Rattus norvegicus: one gene and its partners. The protein of the gene in region 1 purifies or fractionates together with the protein of each later gene. This does not show direct contact. Links are inferred from orthologs where the notes say so. Each region holds a gene or a part of one and is shown on either strand. Other genes may lie near its edges.

Region 1 (3,646 bases):
ATGAAGTAATTGATCAACAGAAAGCAAATGAGCACTCGTTTATTTGCAAGCATCTGTAACTAGGTTGACAGTAATAATTGACATGGACTTGGAAAAGGAAGGTCAGAGGAATTCTTGACTAGGATATGTATAGTCTCTTGGTGCAGTTGGAGGACATGAGTGAGTACTGGCACTAATCTGGCAGATGTCTCTGAGTGAAGGGCAGGGCACCAGGGTCGCAGGTGTACTTTCTTCATCTATCACCTCCGTTTGGCTCATGCTGGTCACTGGTGTTTCCTGCTGCTTTCTGGGAAAGGATATATAATTAAACCTATCTTCAGAGGAGAGACCGTTTTCTATTTGAAGTGTGATATGCTTTATATTTTAATAAGATCATTGGTTAATGCTTTATATGACTTTATTAGGATGGATAAAAAGGAAATGATTCTTGCTACCCAAGAGTTTCAAGTTCTACCAAGTAGAGCTGCAGTATTTCCCACAGACCTCTTTTATTTGGTTCCCATCGGCTCTCGGCCCACTGTGATTCTAGTGTCTTTACATATTGAACTCTGGAGAAAAAAAGTTTTGGCTTGTTTTCATGCTGTTGAAGTGCCTATTACCGGATAGGTTTTGGCCTTAGTATCTGAGTTAATACTTCAGCCATTTGCATTACTGTATTTACAGCAGAAGAAATTTCTTGGACTCAGACCCTTGCATCATTTTCTAAACCAAAGAACCTGCTTATTGAAGAGATAGGCTGATAGAGTCACTATTTTATTATGGTTGTTTTAATGCACCTTTTTTTTTTTTTTTTTTTCCCTGCAGCTTGTGCCCCAATTAGTTCGTATTCTAAAGAACCTCATCATGTCCGGATATTCCCCAGAACATGATGTTTCTGGTATCAGTGACCCCTTTTTGCAGGTGAGTTTGAAAAACATTTTGGATAAATGCCATGTGAATGCAATGCTTTGAAGAGATTGTTTCCTTCATCTTAAGTTTATATAGGGTACAGACTGATAATATACTAATTATATTAATAAGTGAACTAGGGCCAAATAAGTATTGTATTGAATTAGTGAAGTGACACTGTAAATGTAAAATTTACTGTGAAGTGTGGGTTATCTTATGACTTCATTGATGTAGACATGTGCATGGCCTCTTTAAAACAATGTTGAAATTTCTCCTGATGGCGTCTAACTTCACTTGAAATGTTTGAGTTTCATTCTGAATGAGATTGAGTCAGACATAACTTGTTGACCTTTTGTATCCTGCATGTTAGGTACGAATTTTGCGGTTATTAAGAATTTTAGGACGGAATGATGATGATTCAAGCGAAGCTATGAATGATATATTAGCACAGGTGAGTTGATCCAACTTGAAATCATTGAAGTTTCATTTTCATCCAGCAGAGAGTAGAAGAGAGTATCTGGGCGAATAGTTCTGCTTCTCCTTAGTGAGTTACTGAGTTGTCTCCTTGCACTTGGTAGTTTGGAAAGTGTTGCTTTCCCACTTATGCACTGCTGTCTGTTTTTCAGGTCGCCACTAATACAGAGACCAGTAAGAATGTAGGGAATGCTATTCTGTATGAAACGGTTTTGACTATCATGGATATTAAATCAGAGAGTGGATTGCGTGTAAGTCTTTTTGAATCTTCTCTTTCCTCTAAACATTTTACTTAAAGTGATTGAACTGGGCTTCAGTACTTTGAAACAGATTCCATTTGGAACTTTAGGAAGGACTCTCGTACCAAAGCATGCCATTGTGACTTTATGTGTGCTTTAACCTTGACGAAAACACTAAAGCCTGGAAGGACTGAGGAGGGGATACAGCTATATTCCTGTGTGAAGGAAGTCTTTCAGAGTAAGCTTTTACTAGACACAACCTGAATTGTACCTATCACTCTAAACAAGGCACAGATGCAGTAGTTAAATAAATTTATTTAAGCAATAAACCTATAGAGCACGAAACTCAGGTAGCCTCGAAATCGTACTGAGAGGAAAATGTTAGCTCTGTAGCTTTCGTATCGTTTCCTCTTCCACAGGAAAACACTATTTTGTGATGCTTTGCCTATATTGGAACAGCATCTTGCTACATAATATAGATGGGGCCGGCCTGGAATCTTCTCTAGGGTGGGTTGGCCTCAATTTGTTGATTCTTGTGCTTTAGCCTCCCAGTTCTGGGGTCATAGGTTTGCTCCACCACATCTAGCCTTTTTTTCTACTGTCATTTAATGTTGAAACAATTTTAGATTTTTTTTTAAATTAATTGTGTGTATGCCTGTGCTTGTGGTAAGAGCAGCATCCATGGAGACCAGAAAAGGATGTTGGATTCCCCAGACCTGGAATTACACATGGCTTGAGCAGCCTAATATAGGTGCTGGGAACCAAGTTTGGATCTCTGGAAGGCTATCAGCATGTCTTCTGAACTTTCGTATATGCTGTGCATTCCCTTGCCCGGCTTTCCCAGAGCAGTGTCTTACAGACTTATACATCTTATGAAGACCAGGGAATTAACCTGAATTGTAGATTTCATTTAGATTTTCTAAGTTTCCAGGTAGTATTTATTTTCTGTTACAGCATGAGCCTACATGACATTTAATTGTCACTTCTTGTTAGTCTCCTGTCTGTTAGTTTCTTAGTTTCTCTTTATCTTTCAAGATTTTGACACTTTAGAAATATTGATCAGTTGTTTTGTAGAATGTAACTCAATTTGGTCTGTCTGATTTTTTTTTTTCATAATTTTATAGATTAAAGTTATACATTTCTTGGCAAACGTCCATACATTGATAACTCCTTTGCAGTAGAGCATGCCAGGCAGCACAGTTTTCTTAGTGCTGTGATGTCAGCTGGGTGTGCCGCCCAGATTCATTTGTTTGCTTTTCAATAATTTGTTTTTATTCATGTTATATCCTGATCACAGCCCCCCCTTCCCAGTCCCACCCTTACAACCCCCCCCCCCATTACTCCCCTTGAGTACCACCCAGTGGCAGGGAACAGAACCTGAGAAAGCCCCGCACCACTTGTTAGGGGACCCACATGAAGACAAGCTGCACATTTATTTTACTTTTTATGTGGATGAGTGTCTGCCTGCACATATGTACGTGCTCCATGTGAATCCCTATGTATTCCTGGTTCCTACAGAGTTTGGAAGAGGGCATTGGATCCCCTGGACCTGGAGTTATGGATGATTGTGAGCTATCATGTGGGTGCCAGGGATGGAATCCAGGTCCTTTACAAGAGCACCAAGCTATTAATCACTCAGCCATCTCTTCCAGCCCAATATGTGGTGTCTTTAGAGCTGTGTAATTTATTGTCTTTCCCTTTGTAATTAAAATTCTTGGGAGGAGACACTCTGAGCCTGTGCAAATACAGTTTTAGGCTTTTGTCCATGATTTTTAGTATCTGGTGTCTTTGGAAGGCACAGTGGGTGTCAGATCCCTAAAACTTGATGTACGGATGCTTGCAGCTACCACAGGGTGCTGGGAACTGAACCCAAATCCTTTGGAATAGCAGGAGCCAGAGCTGTTAACATTGTGCCATTTTCCAGTCCCCCCTCCTGCCTTTTCTTCCTTCCTTCCTTCCTTTCCTTTCCTTTCCTTTCTTTTCTTTCTTCTTCTTCTTCTTTTTTTTTTTTTAAGAAAATGGTTCATTTTGGAAAATTAACCCTT
Region 2 (4,183 bases), on another chromosome or scaffold:
CTTCATACAGGCCCCATCTCTGCTTTAAGACAATTCCCGTGGGCGATTCTCATAGCTCCATCTGGACTCTGGGCCTGATAAAGGTCGGCGGCAGCCACGATGCCCAAGCGGGCTTTGTCGCCCCCTGGCGGCCTCTCAGGAAACGTTTCTTCCACAGCGGAGCGCTATGCTTAGGCTTGGTTAAGGTTTGGAGTGGTTTTGGTTTTTTTGTTGTTCCCCCCAACACACACACTACCCTCCGCAAAACGGTATCCCAGCAACGGGAAAGTAGAGACAGAACGATCTTGAATTTAAGGATAGCTTGGGCTTTAAAAAAAATGAATGAAATTAGAAAACAAAAAACAAAGTCAGGCCTGGTGGCTCATGACTGTAATCACAGAACTTGTAAGGCTGTGCCGGTCTGGACCACATAATGAACTCTTCTAGAATTAACAACACAACACAACACAAACGATAAGCAAAAACAAACAAACAAAAAATTACACAGGCGCCTTTAATCCCAGCAGACACAGGCAGCCAGCCTGGTCTACAGAGTGAGTTCCAGGACAGCTACGGATACACAGGGAAACCCTGTTTTGAAGAAAAAAAAAAAAAACCCAAACCAGTCAATCAATAACAACAACAACAACTATAACAGAAAGTAGTAAAATGTATAGTGTGAGAAGGATTACATTACTGAACACCTAGTGGTGGGCACCGGGTCACACATAGAAAACAGGCAAAGTCCTGTTGATACTGTAGGTGTAGGTGATTGAACAAGCTATACAGACACATGAACAGACGGATGCCCTGGTGGGTGGGTGGATGCGTGGGTGGGTTAGTAGATGTTGATGTGAATGTGTATATGTATGTGGGAGGGGGTGAGGGATGGATAGCTGACTGGAATGGGAGTGTGGGTGGAGACGGGGTGGGCGGATAAGAGGATGAATGAATAGACGTACGGTGGGCGAGGGGGGCGGTGGGTGAGTTGAAGGATCAATGGATAAATGTCCTGGAGTTTCACCATCCACCCAGGCATTCCTGATCCCCAAAGAAACGTGGGTTAGGGCTGCAGTCGCACCTCTGTTCTGCCTTTCCTAGCTCTTGGAGCAGCCTTGGCATTTGCTGCCGACCGTGCCGCTCACCTGGCGGCCTCCCCTTTAAGACGCATTCACCTGGCGGCCTCCCCTTTAAGACGCGCTCACCTGGCGGCTCACCTGGGCGAAGGCGCTTCCGCAGGAAGAAGGAAGCAGCAGCGCTGCCGCCTCTGCAGCTCGCTCTCGCCTCCTAGCTTCACCGGGCGCCACCATGTCGGCCTCGGCAGTCTTCATTCTGGACGTCAAGGGCAAGGTGAGGCAGAGGGCAAGGGATCGTGGTTCGACGGGCGAGCACGAGGGCCCAGGGCACAGGACCGGGAGCTGGGGACCCGCCCTCTTCAGCCGGCATCTGTGGCAAGGGGTTTCACCTCTCTGAGCGTCATTTCTCCTGTTTGTAAAAATGAGAATAAGAAAGATATCCACCATCTGAGCGCCCTGAACCAGTGAGCACAGCCCTTCTGCAACTCCGGAGTTCAATAAATGGGCCAAGTGTAACTCTGGAGTAGAAGGCCATACCCCTATCCTTGCAAGTCGACTGTCGCTTCTCCTGTGACAATGACAGCAGTAGAGATGAAAACGAGATCCCTGTAACATAATGACACAAGGTCGTGTGCCTCAGTTGTCAGCCAGCTGGCCTAGCACACAGACCTAGGTGTGATCCCAGTGCACTGCATAAACAGTCCCAATTCCAGCTCTTGGGAGGTGGAGGCAGAGGGATCAGGAAATCAAGGGAGTTTGAATCGGGCCTGAGCTACGTGACACTCACTGCCTCAAAACCAAAACAGGCTCAACAAGCCCAGACACTGGCTGTGTAAGTCTGGTAACCTGACCCAAACCCAAGTAAAGGGGAATGGAGACAACCTACAAAGTTGTCCTCTGACCACACCCACACAGACACACACAAACACACAGACACACAGACACACACAAACACACAGACACAGACACACACGCACATGCACACACTCCATACACACAAAAAATAGTGCCTGTAAAAAGATCCAAGAAGGACAAGGAGGCCAGGTGTTTTACCATGCACCTGTCACTCTAGCTACTGTGGAAGCTGAGTCAGAGAGATGACCTGAGCTCAGGAGGGCAAGGCCAGCCTGGGCTACAATAGCAAGACAAAGAAATAAATAACCTTGAACAAGAACGGCCCAGGAGGGGAAGAGGTTCAGGTCCACCTCTCAGCTTTTTGTGGACATAGTTTTAAACCTCAGCTTCTTCAGTCTGGAAAATGGACCCAAAGACACCTACCTCAAGGCTGAGGCAGGCACTGAATTCCTCAGGAAAGGTTCTTCCTCCTCTTCCTCCTCAGTGGTGGGGGCGGAACCCAAGCTAAGCCAGCATACTGCCACTAAATTACGTCTTAAAGATTTTATTTATTTATTTATTTATTTATTTATTTATTTATTTATTTATTTAATGTATACCTAACTGTCTGTAGACACACCAGATCCCAATACAGATGACTGTGTGCCACCATGTGGTTGCTGGGATTTGAACTCAGGACCTCTGGAAGAGCAGTTGGTGATCTTAACCACTGAACCATCCCTCCAGCCCAACTAAATTACATCTTAATCCTCCTCATACTATTTAAAAATTACACTTATTTGCTCTGCCTGTGTGAGAGTCTGTTCTGTCCTATCCCCACGTGTGTGGCTTGGACCTCTGGCCACCAGGCTCGGCAGCGAGACCCTTCAACCACTGAGAACCCCTGAGTTCTCTTGCGGTCCCTCCTGTGCGGTTTAAATTTGAAATGGTATCTGGTTGAATTCCCCAGGCTGGCTTCAGATTCACTCTGGAGCTTTGCTAGGCTTTGGACCTGCTATCCTTTTGCCTCAAGCTTCCCTGCTAACTCTGACGACAGGCCCTTGGTAAGAAAGACAAGGCCCAGCACGTCCACTGATTGATGTCGGAAGGACCTCATACGCAGTAGGATGGTCCTCTACTGCTGAGCCCATGTTCCTTATTTTTCATTTATTTATTTTTTTGTCAGAACCTCATGTAGTTTAGGTTGGCTTTGCACTTACTATGTAGCCGAGGATGGCCTTGTACTTCCGCCTCTACCCCCCAAGCCCATCCCCAGCATAACACGTACTGGCAGAATGTTGATGGTGTTCAGTATGCACCCAGGACACTTTTAGCTGTGGGTGTCAGGTACCTACATAACAGGCATGAAAACCGAGGCGTACAGAGGTAGAGTCCTAGCTAGGCCCCTCACTGAATTGCACACAGAGTGTGATATGGTGACAAACACTGTGACCCCAGCACTCTAGAAACCGAGGCAGGAGGATTGAGAAGTTGAGACCAGCTGGGGCTTCGTAGAAAAGGTGCCTAAATTAATCAGAAAAGGAAAGACAGTCGGGGAGGTAATTTACTCCTAGAGGGTTTGTAACATTAGCTCTCGCCAGGATGGAAGCAGGGGGATCAAGAGTTCAAGGTCGGGGCTGGGGATTTAGCTCAGTGGTAGAGCGCTTACCTAGGAAGCGCAAGGCCCTGGGTTCGGTCCCCAGCTCCGGAAAAAAAAGAACCAAAAAAAAAAAAAAAAAAAAAAAAGAGTTCAAGGTCATCCTCTGTGACATCTGGTGTCAAGGGCAGCCTATGCTACCTGAGGTATCATCCCCTCCATAAAACAAAAGAGGCCAGTGTGGGGGGCATAAAAGAAAGTTAGAAGAGAATTAGACATCCTAAGGCCCTAGGTCTGTGCGCTGGTGGTGACTTAGTCCTGTCTCTCTCCCCTTAGCCTCTGATTAGCCGAAACTACAAAGGCGATGTGCCCATGACGGAGATTGACCACTTCATGCCTCTGCTTATGCAACGGGAGGAGGAGGGTATGCTGGCCCCGCTGCTGAGCCACGGCCGAGTGCACTTCTTGTGGATCAAACACAGCAATCTCTACTGCATCCTCATTGTGGGAAGGAGCGCCAGGAACCTGATTCAGAGGGCGGTGACCTAAGAGCAGGATTTGCCCGGTTCATGTGCCTTAACTCAGGTTGTGCCTGGGGTAAGGGGTAGTAGAAATGGGGTGGGGGCGGGGGGCATAACAGGGGACATGTAACTCCACTCCCTCAAAAATGGCGCATTTTCCTTAACCTTACTGCACC
Region 3 (4,238 bases), on another chromosome or scaffold:
GCTGCAGTGACTCTTTGTAAGACCTGAGGTCTTAGGCGCTACCCAGGTCCACCCGGATGAACTACAAAGGCAGCATGACCCACAGAGCGCAGCCTGTTCACAACCAGGGAGGGTCCAGAAGAACAGAAAACAGCTGAGTCAACAGACTAGAGAGGGGTTTTAAGGGGATCTAGGGAAGGCTCTCAGTATGAGAAGGATTTGAAAGCAAGATTTAGATGGATTAGTACCACCGAGCACACACTAACCACACCCACAGGAGATAGTGCTCCCTCCTGAAAGGAAGAATCAACCTGACCAGGCAAAAGCACTCATCTTCAGCCACCAGACCAGACCTACAGGGAGCAGGAAGGGCAGGAGTTCCTAACCCTAGGGGGTGGAGGTGTCATCCCCAGGCCCTGAGCCTAGCAGCTGGGCCGATGCCCAATGGAACCAGGCTATATTGCATGCTCAGGCTGAGGCGATGGGGGGGCTGGGGCACAGCGTGCTCAGGCAGGGGACTTACCCGATGTCATCTCTGTAGACTCGGGAGATAAGCACCTCCCCCTTGTGATTATAGATGAATAAGCCTCCGATCATGGCGGCAGCTCAGTCTCTGTGACCCATTGCTCTGAGAACAGACCTAGGTAGGAAAGGTGGGGATAGGGAATGGGGAAATCTTTAGATCCCTTGCCCATCTCAGCGGGGCTGTACAGGGCTGCCTTTTTTCCTGACTCAGTCCTCTAGCAAGTGACCCTGCAGCCCTCCCAAGGAAGCCCCGCCTGCACGCACAGCGAGGCTCCAGTTCCTGTTTATTCCACACTGGATAGGAGACAGTACTTTAAGTGTGGGGCCCAGGGTTAAGGCCATTTTACTCAGTCTTTTCTGAGGGCTGAGCTTGAAAGTAACCACCCCCCCACCCCCACTCGCACCCCTCCCCGTCGTCTTCACAATGCTGAGCTCAGCTAAGATTCTTTTCAAACCCCTGCTGTGCAGACTCTCACTCCCCGCAACTTCAGTGAGTCAGAGAAAAGCTTGCCCGCGGATGCAGGAATGGCGGTAGGGATTAGGCGGTAGGAGTTAGCTTGTGCCCGCCACCAGGCATAACTTTTAGAGCAAGCACTATTCTTCCAAGAAGGCAGCAGAGCATGACCGTCTACAAGGCTACACATTCCAGGAAAGGGTGTGCAGAGTGAGGTGGGGGTGGGAGAAGAGGCCCTTAGGCTCTAACACAAACCCAGGAATGTGGCTGAAGCAGGCTCGTCTTCCCCAGGCAGTGAGATAAGCAGGCAAAGGAACAGAGAGGCCCAGGGCGAACAAACCACGCTCCAATGCTCCCAAGTTCTTCTTAGAAAGATTTCATTTTTACCTTCACATAGGTATGCCAATGTGTGTGCTGTGTGTGTGGAAGTCTAGACGTCAGGTGGAGCCCTGCCCTCCATCCCACAAGCCTGAGTTACAGGCAGTACTGAACCAAACGACATGGGCTGAGACCTGAACTCAGGTCTTCTGGAAGAACAGTAAGGACTCTGAAATGCCAAGTCCCTCTTTCCTTTCTTTTCTTTCTTTCTTTCTTTCTTTCTTTCTTTCTTTCTTTCTTTCTTTCTTTCTTTTTGAGCCCCCTTTACAATTATTTCTGGTCACTGTCTTATCAAAATTTCAAAATGTGACAAAAATTAGGTCTGTATGTAGCATTAATCCTGCTAAATTGTGACTCCAGAGCTGCCAAGTCAGTCACTTCTGGCCTGGTGTTTACTAAGCAATGGGCAAGGTAACAGAATGTCTCAACTGCCCAAATTCATTTGGGTCAAAATTAATTTAGAATATTTAAGAAAATAGGTTAATCTGGTTCTAGATTTTTCTGGATTAACCCTGGTATTAATTTCACTGATGTTAGTCTAACAAGACTTTCTGAAACTGAAAAGTTAACCCTTGAAACCCAGTCACAAGTCAACTAAGGTAGTGGACACACTTGTCTCACAGTTCAAAGAAGGTGAGAAAGAAAATGCAAAATGGAGGTTGTCCCCTGAGCAAAGGACCAAGTCCACAGGTATCAGCCGAGGGTGGGAGTGGTGGTGGAGGTGGAGGTGGCTGTGGTTGTGGTGTGTGTGTGTGTGTGTGTGTGTGTGTGTGTGTGTGTGTGTGTGTGTTGTGTCCTGGACAGAAATGGAATATTTAGTTAAGGGACCGATTAGCTGTAATTGCTAGCAATAGACCAGGATGACCCCACAGCAGCAAATACAGCTGTGGGAGTCCCTCAAGTTCTCCTATGACAAAGGTCATAGGAGCTTTGGAGGAGCAAAACAAGGCGAAAAGATAGACAGTAGAAAAAGAGAAAGCTGAGAGATAGGGCCTACTCTTCTTTTAGTGAAGCATGAGGGGTTGGTGGAGTTTTTCTCAGCAGAGGGGGGAGACATCTAGGCCGAGGAGATGTCACCAAGGGATGCGGGGGCTGTCATAGGTCTGAGGTAGAAGAGCAGTGGGGGGTAAACCAGGAGGAAGGAATCTCTCAGTGTTCCAGAGAGACCTGTCACTGTCCAAGGGAGTGGCACCAGGGGATGTCAATGTCCTGGGGGATGGGAGAATGGGAAACCTCGGGGTTGAGCGGTTGTCAGGATTCTAGGGATGGGGCGCCGCGCGGGGTCCCCGGCTCTAGGATTCCGGCCCGAGTCTCCTCCCGGAGACGCCCAGCGGGTTACTGGAGGGCGTCGTTCCCCGCCCTTGCTGCAATCGCGCCCAAGGCACCCCCGCCCGGTCGTCTGCTCCCTCCCGGGTCTGGAGGCTGAGGCCACTCCCGGGTGCGGGCAGTTTTCCACCCAGCACAGTGCGGGGCAGGGCAGGTGACCACGGCACCCTCGCCGCCCGGTAAGGATCTCTAAGTCAAGCTTCCCAGCTCACCTGGAGTCAGCAGCCCCCACAAGGCAGGCCTGGCCACTCTCGGATCCCAAGATGTCCGCCCGCCCCCAGCTCGCCTGTCTGCTGCCTCCGCTTTCACTGCAGTGCTCCCGCCCCGCCCCGCCCCGCCCGCAGCTGCGCCTGCGCGCTCACCTCCAGCGGCGACTACAAGTCCCGTCAGTCTCCGAAGCTTTCAAGCTGACACATCCGAGTGCCCTAAGTCTAGCAAAACTACAACTACCGACAGCCTTCGAGACAGAGTCGACGTCGGCCTCAGTGCGTCTTGCTGGCAACACGGGTCATGGTACGCTCCACAGACTATTTGCTTCACTGAGAATCACGGGAAGTGTAGTCTCTGTAATCCTTCTCGTTCCTAGTTAGAGGAGGTAGGCTTTAAGAGACCAAAGCTGTTTGTTGAAACCAATTGTAAATTTTGAATTATTAGATTTTTATTGTCTCCAGATTTCGAAGAGTGGCTATATTCACTTTACAAACACAACTTGCATAAGCCCGTTACTGCTGAATTTATTGCTTTTTAACACATTTGATTCTCCCGAGGTTTTATATATATTCCAGGATAGGACTGAGCCCTTTCTCAGGGATAATTATCCAAACAGAAAGGCTGGGAAGGAAAGCACTAATTCTTGGTAAAACATTAGTGTTTTTCTCAGCAAAATCTGTGACTGTGGTGTGCTGGTGACATATGCCGTTAATTCCAGAGCTCTGAAGGCAGAGGCAAGAGCATCTCTGTGAATTTGAGGCCAGCCTGGTCTAAATAGGGAGTTTCAAGACATCCCAGGCTACAAAAGGGAGCCTGTTTGTCCACCACTCCAGTTTAGTTGGGCATGGGATTTTAAAATCCCATTTCTCATCTGGGCAGTGGTGGCACATGCTTTTAATCTCAGCACTCAGGAGGCAGAGGCAGAGGCAGAGGCAGGCAGATCTCTGAATTCAAGGCCAGCCTGGTCTATAGATCGAGTTCTAGGACAGCCAGGGATATACAGAGAAACCCTGTCTCAACCTTAAAAAAAAAAAAAAAAGATTTCTTATGATATCCAAACTGAGAATGAGGCAGAACCAACCCGAACACAAACGGCTGTCTGATTTTTGCCAAATCTAGAAAAGTTGGTTTTTCTCTCAGTGGACAGAGACATCTGTTGCCTAAACAGGCCAGAGACTTCTATGGCAGAAAGGAAGGGGTGGGTGTTCAAATCTGGTTGCTAACCCTACTATTCCTAGCAACCTCCTTCCAGAAGCCAAAACCCAGAAACTTGTAACCTTTGAAGGCTTCATGTCTATCTTCACAAAAGCTTTCTCTTCCCAACATACCCTAAAAGTTTAGAGTAAATTAGTGATAACAACAACAA

Evidence for each region.
Region 2: the proteins of Ap1g1 (region 1) and Ap1m2 purify together in Homo sapiens (affinity purification with mass spectrometry; 4 studies listed by BioGRID and IntAct, counting the BioPlex papers as one, with this or other methods). This does not show direct contact. The link is inferred for Rattus norvegicus from reciprocal best matches to the Homo sapiens genes AP1G1 and AP1M2.
Region 3: the proteins of Ap1g1 (region 1) and Ap2m1 purify together in Homo sapiens (affinity purification with mass spectrometry; 3 studies listed by BioGRID and IntAct, counting the BioPlex papers as one, with this or other methods). This does not show direct contact. The link is inferred for Rattus norvegicus from reciprocal best matches to the Homo sapiens genes AP1G1 and AP2M1.

The regions. Positions count from the first base shown.
Region 1 is NC_086037.1:54,709,467-54,713,112, forward strand, and holds part of Ap1g1 (AP-1 complex subunit gamma-1), read left to right. Parts: intron 1-804; coding exon 805-900; intron 901-1,258; coding exon 1,259-1,339; intron 1,340-1,514; coding exon 1,515-1,613; intron 1,614-3,646. UniProt on the Homo sapiens protein: Subunit of clathrin-associated adaptor protein complex 1 that plays a role in protein sorting in the late-Golgi/trans-Golgi network (TGN) and/or endosomes.
Region 2 is NC_086026.1:28,129,714-28,133,896, reverse strand, and holds the start of Ap1m2 (AP-1 complex subunit mu-2), read left to right. Parts: upstream 1-1,254; 5' UTR 1,255-1,287; coding exon 1,288-1,329; intron 1,330-3,822; coding exon 3,823-3,979; intron 3,980-4,183. UniProt on the Homo sapiens protein: Subunit of clathrin-associated adaptor protein complex 1 that plays a role in protein sorting in the trans-Golgi network (TGN) and endosomes.
Region 3 is NC_086029.1:93,865,579-93,869,816, forward strand, and holds the start of Ap2m1 (AP-2 complex subunit mu), read right to left. Parts: upstream 2,903-4,238; 5' UTR 2,875-2,902; intron 620-2,874; 5' UTR 577-619; coding exon 503-576; intron 1-502.